Elephas maximus indicus: one gene and its partner. The protein of the gene in region 1 interacts with the protein of each later gene in a pairwise test. Links are inferred from orthologs where the notes say so. Each region holds a gene or a part of one and is shown on either strand. Other genes may lie near its edges.

Region 1 (7,166 bases):
TTTTGCAAAAACTCAAAAAGAGGAAGTGAGAAAAACTAAAATGGCTGTAACTGATACAGCTTTATTGAATTCAAGCCAGCTGGAAGGGACCACAGCCTTGCAGCAATGTAAAGATCCCCAGGGTGAAGGACTCATTTTCTTCCCTCGATCCTGTCAGGTGAAATGGAGTCTGGAGTCACGTGTGCTGTGACCAAAACCCTTTAGCTTCTGTGACCACAGGAGGTCTTTTTTAGATAGTATTTTGTCTTGCTTTTAAACTGAAGGTCACCACATCGAGTCTGTGGCCTGTGACTGGCACTGAAAAAAGAGAGAAAATAGACTAAACTATATCAAACTGTATAATATGGAAGGGTTAGTTTTGTTTCCAGAAACTTTGGTTTTAGCCATGTATTTGTATGTATGCATGGCCTGGGTTGTAATGTAAAACTTGGGTTACTATGCGGGTCAGTCAAAAAAGTGTGCAAGCCATTGCTCTGTGAGACAGTGGTTAAGAGCTATGGCTGCTCCACCAGACTGAGTCCAGTACAACTAGATGGTGCCTGGCTACCACCACTGACTGCTCCGACAGGAACCACAAGAGAGGGTCCCCGACAGAGCTGGAGAAAAATGTAGAACAAAATTCCAACTCAAAAAGAAAAGCCAGACTTGCTGGCCTGACATAGACTGGAGAAACCCTGAGAGTATGGCCCCCGGACACCTTTTCAGCTCAGTAATGCTGCGGTCACTCCCGAGGTTCGTCCTTCAGCCAAAAGATTGGACAGGCCCATGGAACAAAACAAGACTAAAGGGGCGCACCAGCCCTGGGGCAGGAACTAGAAGGCAGGAGGAACAGAAAAGCTGGTAACAGGGAACCCAGGGCTCAGAAGGGAGAGTGTTGACATGTTGTGGGGCTGTTAACCAATGTCATACAACAATGTGTGTACTAATTGTTTGATGAGAAATTAGTTCTATAAACCTTCATCTAAAGTTCAATAAAAAAAGAAAAAGAAAAAGAATGATTGCAATTGGAACAACACCAAAAATAGAGCTACAGCCGCTAAACAAAAGTTGGCAGTTCGAATCCACCAGGCACTCCTTGGAAACTCTATGGGGCAGTTCTGCTTTGTCCTATTGGGTCACTAGGAGCTGGAATTGACTTGATGGGTTTGGTTTTTTTGAGTGTGGTGTGGTTCTCCAGGAGTCCCCGGGTGGTGCAAATGGTTAAAATGTCCAGCTGCTAACTGAAAGGTTGGTTGGAGGCTGGAGTCCACCCAGAGGCATCTCCGAAAAATGGCATAGTGATCTACTTCTGCAAAGTCAGCACAGTTTTACTCTGACACACACAGGGTTGCCGTGAGTCAAAGTCTACTCCACAGTAACTGGTTTGGTTTTTTGCATGGTGCTCTGTTTTCCATCCCCCTGCCAAGGCGTCCTGGGAGCCACATGTTGAGATGGTATCCTCCAAAGATTAAAGTAGCTTGGATTGCTGTGTCACTGCAAGGGGGGCAGCTACCCTGCAAAGTCACCCCAACCAGCCTTTGTAGTGTAAAACCAAAAAAGCCCGTGGCCACAGACTCAGTTCTGACTCATAAGGACCCTACAGGACAGAGCAGAGTTCCCAAGGAGTACCCGGTAGATTCCAACTGCCAACCTTTCGGTTAGCAGCCATAGCTCTTAACCACTATGCCACCAGGGTTTCCCTTGATTGGCACAGTTTCCCATTATGAGCAGAGGTGTGGCAGAGAGTCCTAACGTCTGGTAATTCTAACCAGAACACAGACAAGTCCAAAACTGATACATAATCCTATTACTTGGGGTTTTTTCATCCAAAGCAAGAAACTTGACGTACTGTTCTTTTCAATCAAGCGGACATATTGTCCTTGTGGGAGTGGTTCCTGCGATTTTTTTTTTTTGTATTATTAAATGCAAGCATTCACACTATAATATGAACTATAACAGTAACATTAAAGATGGAATCAAATCTGATAACAGAAGAATAAACAATGCAGTTAAAATTAGCAGGCTTCCTCATTTCAGTCTCTCTTTGCTTCAGTAGTCTACAGTTAAGAATTCTGATCAAAGGCCCTTGTATAACATGATTATTTATGCTAATTTCCTCTAATCCCGCTTCCTGTGGATGGGTGGCTTTTCTTAAGGCTAAAGTGTCACCATACTTTTTTTTTGCAGAGATATGGAAGGACCAAACCTGTACCATAAAGTCATTAATTTTCAAAAAGGCAGCATTACTCTCACTTTTAAAAGTAATTCTGCAAGTGTTCTGCACAAATCTCGGTTAGAGAGTTTAACAAAGAAGTTACCACGTGATGAAATAAAAGGTGATAAACTGCACAGTAGCTTTTCAGAAAATGCCATTTGAGGGTTTATTCTGACATGGACCTTTCACAGAAGCATTAAGGCCCTGTGGTTTGGAGCAGATCAGCTCATGCTCCCTGCCTTCTCATGAACTGGGGCCTTGTGTTGTTGTTAGTTGCCAGTCCAACCCACTCTGACTCAAGGCGACTGTAAACCATTTTATTTTCTGAGTTCTAAAACTCTTAGCTACATGTTTTAAGGGCAGCCTGGATTTCAGGCTGGGGAGTGAGGGTCCAGGGCCCAGGACTGTACTGAACCAAGATCTTTGGAATAGAAACTACTGAAGACCCAAAGCTGTGAGCTAGCAGAAGGGTCTTGCATGAAGTTGGCGTGGACAGAGCCGGTTCGAGTCCCTTTCTCCTACTTAGTAGCTACACCCCTCAGCCTCGGTTTCCTTACCAGTCAAACCGAGATGAGCGTTCTCTGCGAAGAGTCCCCAAACCAACCCCTGTAAAAACGTCCCCGCAGATGCCTGGGGTTCAGTCGGTGTCAGTTTCTGGATTTAAACCAGCACCGAGCGGGGGGCCGGTGAACCTGCCAGGTCTGTTACCTGATGGCGTTGACCGGCGGGTTTCGCAGGCGGATCCGCGCCACGTAGTCCCGCACTCGCGTATACTCGACCATTGCCCCTCTGTCGCCGAGGTCACTTCTGCCTCCGACTGCCGGCCGAAGCCTCTCTCCCCGGGCCGGGCCGCCCTGCGAGGAGGGGCGCCGCTGAGCCAATGAGAGCCGGGCGCCGCCCCCGAGCGCCCGGACCGCCTGCCGGCTGGCCCCGGGCCGGCACCCGGTCTTCCCAGCCCGCCCTCCATTTTCCTGCGGTCCGCGAGGACCCGCGCCGCCCATCCCGGCCCGACTGCACCCGGGCCCGCACCCCATCTTCCCACCCAGCTCGACTGCACCGAGGCCGCACCCCTTCTTCCCTCCTGGCCCGAATGCACCTGGGCCGCACCCTATGTTTCCACCGAGCCCTCTCCATTCCCGGGACCCCACCCTGCGCTCTACAAACACTTGCCATCTCTTCCTCTCTGTGGTTGCCCATCCTGCTCCCATCTTCCTCCCATCACAAAGCAGTCCAAAGGGGGCTGGGGAAAACCGGTGGAATTACAGGGAGTGGAGGTTTGTGACACTCAGAGGGGCTGACTTCGGAGGACAAAGTCTGGGCTCACTAAGCTGGCCAAGCTGTCCTCTGAAGAGTTTTCATGATCCTTCTGAAAGGGGGTAGATATCTGAGGCCCTTGACAATTGTGTGAAATGGCACACACCTGGAACACAAGCATCACAAGTTTGACCTAAGGAGTAGGGTACTAACATCAGCCAAACATTTACCTAAAAATCCTGTTACTAGTCCTAGGTTCACATGGCAATCAGTGAAACCCATGAGTTTGTCTGCCCAATCCTTTGTCTTTTAAAAATTCTGACATTCTGAAGGATTGTGACTTCTAATATTTCACTTATTCAGAAGTTGAACACATACTATAAATGGTTAAGAGCTAGGGCTGCTAACCCAAAGGTCAGCGGTTCCAGTCCACCAGCCCCTCCTTGGATAGTTCTTCTCTGTCCTATAGGGTTGTTATGAGTTGGAATAAACTCAATGACAAAGAGTTTGGTTTTTTTAAGTGTAGGCTGGAGACTGTAAAAATAAACCAGGCTTAGTCCCTTCCCTCCAGAAGTGAGGACCAGGTTTCTCTAAGCATGATTAGCCTCCAGTAGAACCCACCCTCCATGAAGTGATCAGAAGGCAGCCTGAAAGTTTCAGAGGAAAAAAACAGTGGAATAGCTTTGTTCACTGATGTTTCACAAATTTTAACTATGATTAAGGGTTATTTTCATTGCTTTGAACCCTGGTAATAAGTAGCAAAACCCATTCAATAGATCAAGGGCAATTGCCTCAATGAACCCACTTTTGAAAGCCAACCTGTCAATGACAGCCCCTCACTTTCATAGCCAGCCAATCACAAACCATACAATACTCACACTTCCGAGGGCCACCAATCAACAACAGGCTCATTTAAGCAACCAACTTCTACAAGTGATGTCAACCCTAAAAAAAAACCCTAAATGCCTCTGGAAATTCCCCAGTCTCTGAAGTCCATGTTGCCCAAAAGCTGTATGTAAAATCTACAGTCTGTTCTGCTTAGAGAGATTGTACCTAACCAGCATAACGTTCCCCTACTGTGTTGTTGTTTGCAGAAAAGCTGGCCCCAACTCATGGCAACCCCATGCACAATGGTAACAGACCGTTGCGATCCATAGGGTTTTCACTGGCTAATATTCAGGAGCAGATCCCCAGGCCTTTCTTCCTAGCCTTAGTCTGGGAGCTCCACTGAAACCTGTTCAGCATCATAGCAACACACAAGCCTCCACTGACAGAAGGGTGCTGGCTATGCTTGAGAAGCATTGGCTGGGACTCGAACTGGAACCTGGAAGGTGAGAATTCTACCACTGAACCATACTGCCCCCTTTTATTACTAAAAAATTCATTGCTATCAAGTTAATTCTGACTTATAGCAACCCTATAGGGTTTCAAAGGCTGTAAATCTTTACAGAAGCAGACTGCCACATCTTTCTTCTATGAAGCAATTGGTGAGTTTGAACTCTGACCTTTTGGGTAGCAGCAGAGTGCTTAACCATTGTGCCACCAGGGCTCCTTCTATTACTATTACCCATTGCTGTTGAGTCAATTCTAAGTCATAAGTGATCCTACAGGACACAGTAGAACTGCCCCATAGGGTTTCTGAGGAGCAGCTGGTGGATTCGAACCGCTGATCTTTTGGTTATGCAAATCTGTATGCATACTAAAAAGAACAGAGATAACTATCTAATCTTGCTTTTCCCTGCACTGGTGATCTATGAACCTTGAAATGCCGTGTTTGTCATGAAAATTCAGTAGTGGCATGAAGCCATGGAAGCTGACTTCTCTGGTAAACCAGTCAGAAATTTTCTAGAATAAGGACAAGACAATGCTTTCCAGCCTGGGTGATAAAATCTCTTCCATGCTTTCTTCCATGTACTTTCCCATTTCACTCTGGGATATCCACCCACCCACCTGATGCCATGAGTCAATTCTAACTTATAACAACCCTATAGAACAGAGTAGAACTGCCCCATAGGGTTTCCAAGGAACGCCTGGTGGATTCAAACTGCTGACCTCTTGGTTAGCAGTCTGAGCTCTTAACCACTATGCCACCAAGGTTTCTGTCTTAACTAATACACTGAAGAAATGGGCAGTGAGTACAAAATTGTTCTTCCATAGTGAAGTTGGCTGCCATTTGAAGAGGAAAGCTTCTCACATAAGTGTGTGAGATGAGAGATGGGATAAAAATAATTTGTTCACTACACCAGTAATATCAACAATGGTGAGTTCTATAATTTCAAGTGGCTTGCTCAAGTGTTAAACCTTAAACATATGTTATGGATTGAATTGCATTCCCCCAAAATATGTGTCAACTTGGCTAGGGCATGATTCCCAGTATTGTGTGGTTGTCTACCATTTTATGATTTGATGTGATTTTCCTATGTGTTGTAAATCCTATGATGTTAATGAGGCAGGATTAGAGGCAGTCTTGAGTCGATCTCTTTTGAGATATAAAAGAAAGAAGCGAGCAGAGAAGAGAGGGACTTCGTACCACCATGTAAGAAGTGCCAGGAACAGAGTGTGTCCTTTGGACCCAGGGTCCCTGTGCTGAGAGATTCTTAGACCAGGGGAAGATTGATGACAAGGAACTTCCCGCAGAGCTGACAGAGAGAGAAAGCATCCCCCTGGAGTTGGTGCCCTGAATATGGACTTCTAGCCTCCCACACTGTGAGAGAATAAATATCTATTTGTTAAAGCCATCCACTTGTGGTATTTCTGTTGCAGCAGCACTTGATGACTAAGATGGAATTTGGTACCGAGAGTGGGGTGCTGCTCTAACAGATACCTAAAACGTGGAAGTGGTTTTGAAACTGTGAATGGGTAGAGGCTGCAAGAGATCTAAAATGTTTAATAGTAAAAGCCTAGATTGCCTTGAGGAGACTGTTGGTGGAATTATGGACATCAAAGAAAATTCTGGTGAGGACTCAAAAAGAAATGATGAGAGCTGTAACACCAGAGAACTCACAGATGAAGCAGCAGCAGAGAAACAGTGGCAGCACGACCAGGAGACTGGCACGAAACAGCACTGGAGCCAACCCATTCAGTCTGGATTCCTGACCGACTACAATGAGCAGACCCTCTCTGCAGACCCACAGTAGTCTTGTAGCAAGAGCAAGAAATTAATCCAAGTTTTTTTTTTTTTAATTTTTATTGTACTTTAAGTGAAAGTTTACAAATCAAGTCAGTCTCTCACACAAAAACTTATATACAGGGGGCCAAGATGGCTGACTAGGTAGACGCTACCTCAGATCCCTCTTGCAACAAAGACTCGGAAAAACAAGTGAATTGATCACATATATGACAATCTACGAACCCTGACCAACAAACACAGATTTAAAGAGTTGACCTGAGTGACAGAGACTGAGAACGAACAACCACGAGGAAGCAGCGACTGTTTTCGGAGCCTGAAGCCAGCGTCCCAGTCAGGAAACCTTGGCCCTGGGCTTTGGACCAGGCATAGGGGAGCTGAGCATGGCATCCTGAGATGGCACAATCACGGGGTGCAGCCCTAACCCCCTGAACTGACCTCAGGGGAAGCCCAGCCAGTGCACGCAGGCAGCGCAGCAACATGGCTGACAGGAGGAGAAGTCACCGGGAGGCAGTGACTGTTTTTGGAGCCGGGAGTGCGGCATCCCTGCTGGGGAACCTTGGAGCTGGGCTTCGGACTGGGAGCGGAGGA
Region 2 (8,034 bases), on another chromosome or scaffold:
CAGGCTGTCTAGGGAGGAGGACACAAGGGGCCCAGGATGGAGAGAGACAGAATCTTGGGGCTTGTGCACCTCAAGGTGGTCAGGTCCAGGAGTCGTCAAATCCCTCTCAGCCAGGGAACCCTGAGCTCAAATGAAGTCTTACGTGGACATTCAGGGAATAGAACAGATTTAGGGAGAGCGTCTATGTTCAGAGTCCCCTTCTCAACAGAGGGAGACGCCCTCAGGAACCCTCTGATTCCTTAGAGCCCAGCTGGGAATCCACCTGTGTTAACCCCTGTCGTTGCAGACTTGAGGAAATGGGGGCTCAGAGATGGTAGTGATGGGCTCAAGGTCACGGAAAGGGAGGGCAGGAGCAGCAGGCAGGAAGGGGTTGGGCCAGGCAAAGTAGGAGGGGACTCACAGTGCCCTTGAGGGCGTCAATCTCGCAGGTGTAGGACTGGATCTGGTGTCGGTACTCCATCATCTCCTGCTTGGCCTGGCGCAGTGCGTCGTTGTTCTTGTTGGCTGCCTGGGTCAGGTCAGACACCTAAGGGCAGAGAGAGGGGTCCGGAGACGAGAAGGATGCAGGGGCACGTAGGGGTAGAGAATGTGGAGGCTCTGGGGCCACCTTCCTCCCCAGAGATGGAGCCAGCGGTGGCACCTCCAAACTGGGATGGAGGGGGACAGAGGTACCAGAGTCCCTGGGCCAGGCAACCCACCTTTGACTTGTACCACTCCTCAGCTTCAGAGATGTTCTTGGCTGCGATGGTCTCATACTGAGCCCGGATGTCCCTGAGGGCAGCGGTGAGGTCTGGCTTGGACATGTCCATCTCCACCTGGACCTGCTGCTCCTGAAGCTGGGCCTGCAGCTCACGAATCTCCTGCAGGGCGTGGCTAGGGTTCAGTCCCCCACCAGGCTCTCACACTGCCCAGCACCACCCCTACTTCCCACCTGCTTCCCGGTGGCCCAAGGAATTAGGACAGAGGGCCAAGGGCATACCTCTTCGTGCACTTTCTTGAGGAACGCTATCTCCTCGTTGAGAGACTCGATTCTGCGCTCCAGGTCAATGCGAGATAGAGTGGCTGCATCCACGTCCTGGGAGAGGCCGAGAACGGGGCAGTGTCACTGATCATCCAGGCAGGGTAGAAGGAGATAAGGGCCACAGCGGGAGGGACAGAGGGGGCAGGCTGGCATGGGAGGGGGCGTGAAGGGAGCTCACCGCTCGGAAGGCAGCCAAATTGTTCTCTGCTTCTTCTTTCAGCTGGATCTCCTCTTGCAGCCTGGCAGGGACAGACAGGCAGAAGGACAGACAGTCAGTGGGGGATAATGCAGGCGGGGGAGAGGACTGGCTGGAGGCTGCCCAGAGAGTGTACTCAGGACAGAGGGAGGAGGCCTGACTGCCGGGCAAGGAGACAGGAGGCTCAGAAGGAGAGTGGCAGAGGTGCTGCCCCACCCAGGGAGGGTGGGAGAGTGGCCCAATCTCTGCCCTGGGGCCACACCCTTGAAGTCTATGTCCTCACCAGACTGTGACCTCCCTGGGGTTAGGAACTGTGTCTATTTTATCCACCTCTTTGTTCCTGGTTGCCAGCCCTAGGCTGCCGCATGTAGGCGTTCAATTAATATTTGTGACCTGGGAGGCCAGGGGGTGATTCTGCTAGCTTGTCAGAGGCAGTGCCCTCAGTACCTGCTTCATAATTGCTGCCTTTTTGTCCTGGACCCTGGTGGGGCCTACCTCGCTGGTCTTCTCAAGTTTTCTTCTGGCTGCAGCCCCCTACCCACTTCCCCCTCCTCCCTCTGGTTTATCCCATGCACCTTGTGAAATGGCACAGCCTCATCCAGGCACAGGGGCCAGGCTCCCCTCCACCTCCTTCTCAAGGGCCCCATCACAAATGAGCTGAGAGCTCCTGCTTGGATTTCCTCCTACACTTTCCAGGGCAGCAGCTGCCCTGCCCAGCCTATCCTGGAGTTCTTGCCTCCCATCACCTCCCTTCTTCCTCAGCACTGCAGTACAGCCTCCTCCAGACCTCATCCACCTCTCTGCCTGACCCCATCAAGATCACCCTGGCACTTCAGATGCTTGTTCAAGGGGCTGCCCAACAGGGTGCCCAGGCTCGCAAAGTCTCCCTTGTCCACCCCATGATCTCCCCAAGAAAACTCATTTGCAGGGTGGGAGCAGAGGGGAGAGACCTGGGGCCCATAGGTAGGCGATGCTCTCCGCATGGGGCAGGAGAGGAGCCCCAGGGCCTGGGAGATGGTGTGTGCTGACAGTTGAGAACCCCCTTAAGTTGTCAACTCAACACCTATTACAGGATGGTTAATAACCCTTTCATGACTGCCCGCTTTACTCCCTCCCAGGCCTGCCTCAGGCGCGCTGCCCTCACTTGGCCTTGAGCCGCTGCAGGTCGTCGAGGAGGTTGTCGCGTTCGACGTCGACGCGCGCGCGCTGGTTGGTCAGCACCTCCACCTGGCGCCGCAGCTCGCGCAGCTCCTCCTCGTAGAGCTCGGCCACGCGCGTGGGTTCACGGCCCTTGAGCCGGTTCACTTCCGCCGCGAGCGCCGCGTTCTGCTGCTCCAGGAAGCGCACTTTCTCGATGTAGTTGGCGAAGCGGTCATTGAGCTCCTGCAGCTCCACCTTCTCGTTGGTGCGCGTGGTCAGGAACTCCTGGTTGACGGCGTCGGCCAGCGAGAAGTCCAGCAGCTCCCCCGCACCGTACGAGGGGGTCCGGCTCGCGCCCACCCGGCTGGCCCGCAGCGACCCCAGCCCCCCAGCCCCGCCCGACGTGCGCGACACCTGGTAGACGCGCGACGTCACCGAGCTCGAGGAGCCCTTGGTGCCGAAGCCCGCGCGCGGGAACACGGGCGAGCTCAGCGGGGAGCCGAGCGGGAAGGCCGACCCGCCGCCGAAGGTGCGGCGGTAGGAAGACACGCGCTGGCTGGAGGAGTAGGCCTGGCTCATGGTAGCGGCGGGCTGCGAGGCTGGGAGGCTGCCGGAGAGTGGCTGCGGCGAGGGGAGACAGGGCCCCCGGCCTTCCGCACTATTTGTATCCCTCCTGACATCAGTCCCCGCGCCCCTCCCCTGACAGCTGCAGGATCCCGCTGTCCTGCCAGGAAAGGGCGGCTGCTGGCCGTGGGGGCGGGGAGGCCAGCTCCCCCGCAGAGGCCTGCGCCCCCAGCTGGCTGGCTGGGGGGGGGCCTGTGAGGGGTGCGCGAGAGAGGCCCATCCACCCAGGAGGGCCAAAGGTAGCAGGCCTGCCTGCCGGTGCCTCACCAGCACGGCCTGGCTGGAACCGCCAGGGGGGCCCCTGTCAGCCCTCCAGTGCCTGCCTTGCCTTGGGGGTGGTCAGGGGAGAACCCTGGGTGGAGTCTACCATTTAGTTTGAGGGTCCCATTTTGCTCTAAGGAGAGACTTGGGGTCATTTCCTGAAGGGACAAGGCCTGTTCCCATGAAAGGCCCCAGACTACTTTATTTCTAAAGATTAGCAAGAAGTTGCAGAGAGAGGTTTGGGAGGGCTCAGGCAAAGAACAGGGGTCTACCAGGAAGGCCCTGTGTTTGGGGGTCTCTAGGCAGGGAGGTTGGGAGGGTGTTGAGCCAGCAGAGAGCCATGCTCCCAGAAAGCCTAATAGGAACCTCAGCCCTGCCTGCCCACTTATGTCCACTGGCACCTGGGTTCTAGCACTAGGCCTCAGTTTCCCACTGAACTGGTGTATACCACCACATACACAACACACAACATCCATGGATGAGGGCGGGGCCTCAAGGTTATAAACAACAGGATGCTTTCCAGAAGGAGGGTCTGGTGTGCTTTCAGTTCCCAGTTTGTATGTATACTCCCACCCCCACACCACTAACTTCCCTGGCTCCTGTCTCCTTGGGTGCCCCCCAGCCCCCTCTCTGATTCATCCCCCTACTCACACCACCCACACCCACACACACCAGGGATTTGTGTTTTGTCAGGAGCTGCATGTCAACCCAGCCATCTCCCTGGCAGCAACAGCTGCCAACCCAAAATACCAGAGCTGGTATTTATAGAGGAGAATGCATCCGTCCGGGAAACAAGCACACAGAAGGGGAGCAAGCTGGGGGTGGGGGCTGGCTACCTGAGGTGGCATGGGTGTCAGAGTGGTCGAGGGAAGGCTTGGGGTGCCAGGGCCCAATCACTTCCGGCTCCCTTCTCTTAATGCCCCAGGCCCCAGCGGGCAGGGAGTCCCAAAGAGTGTGGCCATTACTTCATAACCCCCTCAGTACAAGGTGTTCCCTGACCCTTAGGGATGCCCACACTTCTCCAGGAACACTGGCTGTGTCTCTGCACCTCCACCTGGCACACTACAGGCCCCTCTTAGGACTGACCCTTTTGGAATGCAAACCGTGGAAACAGAGCACTGGATTGGGAGCCCATAGCTGGTCCTACCCCAACTCTGCCATCACCAACAAGTGAAGTCCTTCACTTTCCTAAGCCTCAGTGTCCTCATCTATTAAATGAGGATGGTCAGCTTTACCATTCCTATCTTATGGGGCTTTAGAGGTTCAGGTAATGATAATGCAAATAATAACATGTACTGAGCACCTGGAGTCCCCGGGTAATGCAAACATTTAAGGCATTTGGCTACTAACTGAAAAGTTGGAGAGTCGAGTCTAACCGGAGGCACCTGGAAAGGCCTGGCAATCTACTTCGGAAAAATCAGCCATTAAAAACCCTATGGAGCACAGTTCTACTCTGACACACACAGGGTCACCATGAGTTGGGATCAACTCCATGGTATCTGGTTGCTGGTTATTGAACACCTACTGTGTGCCACTCTGCTAAGTGCTCGACATACCCACGGTCCCCAAGTCTCCAACAACCCTATGAGGTAGGAACTAGTATCATTCCTACTTTATAGCTGAGGAAGCTGAGAGAGTCTGACTCCAGGGTGGTGCTTTGCCCTTGGGGCAGTTGTGAATGTCCTAGATGAACTGTAAGGGCGTCATTATTGTCGTCTTTTTAAAGTCCTTTCTCATTAAGTGTCTAATTTTTATCCATGAGACAAGCTTATGAGGTGGGTGGGGAGTTCCAAATATTCTTATCCAGTCTTCGAGCTGTTATGTTCTGGTTATGTTTGTGTCTCATCTCCCAAACTAGATCCTATGCTCCTGGAGGATCTTGGAGGCTGCCTGGATCCTTAACACATCCCAGGCAGCAGAGTCATTGTCGTTCAAAGTAGCCTGAAAGTTTTCTTTATCATCTACTTATTTTGGGAACAAATGCTGTACCCCTTTCTTCCCCCAACAGGACTGGCCATGTGACTCAGATCCCAGTTAGTCTTATTACTGCATCTCTCTGACTTCAGCGATTGGCTCAAGGGATGGGCCTGGGCCTGAGCAGAGCCAATCAGAGACCTTCCCTGGAATTTATAGATGGAATTGGGACTTCTAAACTGGAGCCTGCATCAGCCATGTTTCCTGCTCCCTGGGGAGACCTTTCTGCAGTAGGAGGAAAGAGAGGTCAACATACAAGGAGAAGCAGAGACACCTGGAGAAGGTGAGAAAACCGGAGCAGGAAGTCCTCAATTCCAGCCCCTGGGCCTCTGGTTCCTGCAGCTCTTCCCTTGATTCCGGGAGTTTCCCAGCATCCTTCTTGGCTTTGGGGCCAAAAAACTCTCCTTTTTTTTTCCTTAAGGTCCTTTGTGCTGGGTTTCTGTTACTTGCAGCCAAAAGAATCCTGACTAATCTACTTTTGGAGACGGTACACCCATTTCCAAGGAGCCCTGAGATGACTCAGTGATTAAGTGCAGGACTGGTAACTGAAAGGTCAGCGGTTCGAACCTACCAGCCACTCCTTGGGAGAAAGATGTGGTAATCTGCTTCTGTAAAGATTACAGCCTTGGAAACCCTATGGGGCAGTTGTACTCTGTCCTACAGGGTCAATAGGAGTTGGAATCTACAGGACAGCAATGGGTTATACCCACTTCCATGATGCTTCGGAGGGCAGAACATTTCTGGGGCTCCTTTCTGTGAATGGTCCCCAGACCATATGAGGAAATTGGCCTTCAGACCAGCCCAAAGCTGGTTCCTTGGTAAAATGAGACAGAAAAAAAAATACATAAACAATGCCATTTATTCTCTAGTCAAAATAAACATCTAGCGACTTGGCTCCAAACCACTTGGGGCTCCTTCCAAAACTCAGTTCCACCCCTAGGATTTGCTACCATGGAGGGCAGCAAAACACCACCCCCAGGCTTGGAAAGCAGGTGAAAGAGGAGCCTCCAAAACATGTCCTAAGCTGGGCAGCATCGCTGGAATAACAGCCTCCTAAGGGGACTACTTAGAATTGGACATGCTAAAAATAATAATAATTTATCTGGTTGGGTAAAGTACATGATAAAAAATTCAAGAGGCACAAAAAGGTATAAAGTGAAAAGTGAGTTTCCCTCCCACTCTTGACACCCAGCCACACCTCTCTTCAAAGACAATAGTTTGGGTTGTTTGGTTTTTTTCCTTCTTCCAGAGATAGTTTATGCATAAACAAACATGTTATATATAAAACACCCCTTCTCACTTTTTTTTTTTTTTAACACTTACACACTATTCTGAGCTAAGGTTTTAATATATACCTTGAAGATTGTTCCATTTTAGTGCAATGACAGTTGAGTCATTCTTTTTAATATGTTCATTTATATTTCACTGTATAGATTTGCCATAATTTATTTGGCCAGTTCCTTACTGAGAGGTATTTATGTTGTTTCCAGTCTTTTGCGATTATAAACAACACTGCTGTGAACATCCTCGGGACACACTTTTGGATATATAAATGTTAGTAAGTTATTTCTGTTGTTTATTTTAATAGAACAGTAACATTATTTTGTGATCGTATCTCTTACTTTAGCAATTGATACTAGAAATGGGAAGGTTCGCTGAGACAGACCCTTTCATTCAGTGTTTGTCAGAAAACGGTACAATGTATAAATTTGTATGTGTGGCATGGTACCCTGCACAGTGGGCGTCCTCAAGAAATTTTGTGGAATTAAGGAAGGAAGTTGGTCCTGCTCTCTGCTAGAAATTTTCCCAGATTACCTGGACCTTATAGAGTCTTAGAAGCTTGAGGTTGTACGTAACATCACAGGTCGTGGAGGTTGACCAGTCCCATGCTCCCACCTCTCTGTTAAGGGACTCCAGCAAGCACTTGTCCAGCTTGGAACCTTCTAGTACCTGGGAACTTGCTGTCTCAAGGCAGCCCACTCCATTCCACAGGGAATCATTGAGGCCTAACATGTCTCCATCGAGGGACAGTGGACAGCTCTGCTGGCAGAAAATGTGTCCGTATATTTGAAGCCCTGAGGTAGTTAGTTCAGGGAAGGGAGAGAAGCTGGGAATGGTAGAACAGGTGACATTTCCAAAAGGTATGAGTTCTACCCTCCACCAAGAGCCAAAGCTGATGACCCAAGCATGGCAGTAGGGGTGGGGTGGGGTGGTCAACCAGAGGCCATTTAGGATCTGGGTGCTCATACTAGGGCTTCACTGACTAACCATCTATGCAAGTCTCATTTCCTCTCTGGCCCTGAAGTGACCCAGGAATAAAAGAAGGGACCAGGCCGGGTCATCTCCAAGGTCCCCTCAGGTTTGATGTTCTGGGCCGAGTGATGGGAACAGTGAGCCCTTCCTGGGGACTCACTCCCTGGTATCCCTCTGCCTCCCTGCTCCCAGAGCCCCTCCCCCAAGCAGCATCTCCCAAGCTCCCCCAGCATCTACCTTCCCCTCAGCTGTAGCAGCTGCTAAACCTCCACAGGCCACAGAGGCGCCTTGAGTGACTGTAAAAGGGAAGGAATGTCTTCCTGATATCACGAGGGAGGCTGGAGAATTGGGGGGCCCAGCAGGAACTGTGGCACGTCAGGATTCTCCCTGAAACTCATCCCTCCTGGGCTGCACCCCTCCTCCCCTCATTGTGCCAGGCCCAGCCAGCAACCCTCCCCCACCTTCAGCCACCTTCTGTGTCTAATTGGTGTAAGATCTCTGGGCCATATTCTTCCTTGGCCAGCTTTCCCCATGCCCTGTCCCCAGGCCCCCTCTTAGACCCTTT

Evidence for each region.
Region 2: the proteins of EHHADH (region 1) and DES interact in binary tests that used the Homo sapiens proteins (3 or more experiments, as listed by UniProt). The two-hybrid records come from large-scale screens. The link is inferred for Elephas maximus indicus from reciprocal best matches to the Homo sapiens genes EHHADH and DES.

What each region holds. Positions count from the first base shown.
Region 1 is NC_064819.1:29,837,344-29,844,509, reverse strand, and holds the start of EHHADH (peroxisomal bifunctional enzyme), read right to left. Parts: upstream 3,035-7,166; 5' UTR 2,977-3,034; coding exon 2,903-2,976; intron 1-2,902. UniProt on the Homo sapiens protein: Peroxisomal trifunctional enzyme possessing 2-enoyl-CoA hydratase, 3-hydroxyacyl-CoA dehydrogenase, and delta 3, delta 2-enoyl-CoA isomerase activities. Catalyzes two of the four reactions of the long chain fatty acids peroxisomal beta-oxidation pathway.
Region 2 is NC_064824.1:117,994,005-118,002,038, reverse strand, and holds the start of DES (desmin), read right to left. Parts: upstream 3,012-8,034; 5' UTR 2,937-3,011; coding exon 2,362-2,936; intron 1,261-2,361; coding exon 1,200-1,260; intron 1,076-1,199; coding exon 980-1,075; intron 861-979; coding exon 699-860; intron 527-698; coding exon 401-526; intron 1-400. UniProt on the Homo sapiens protein: Muscle-specific type III intermediate filament essential for proper muscular structure and function.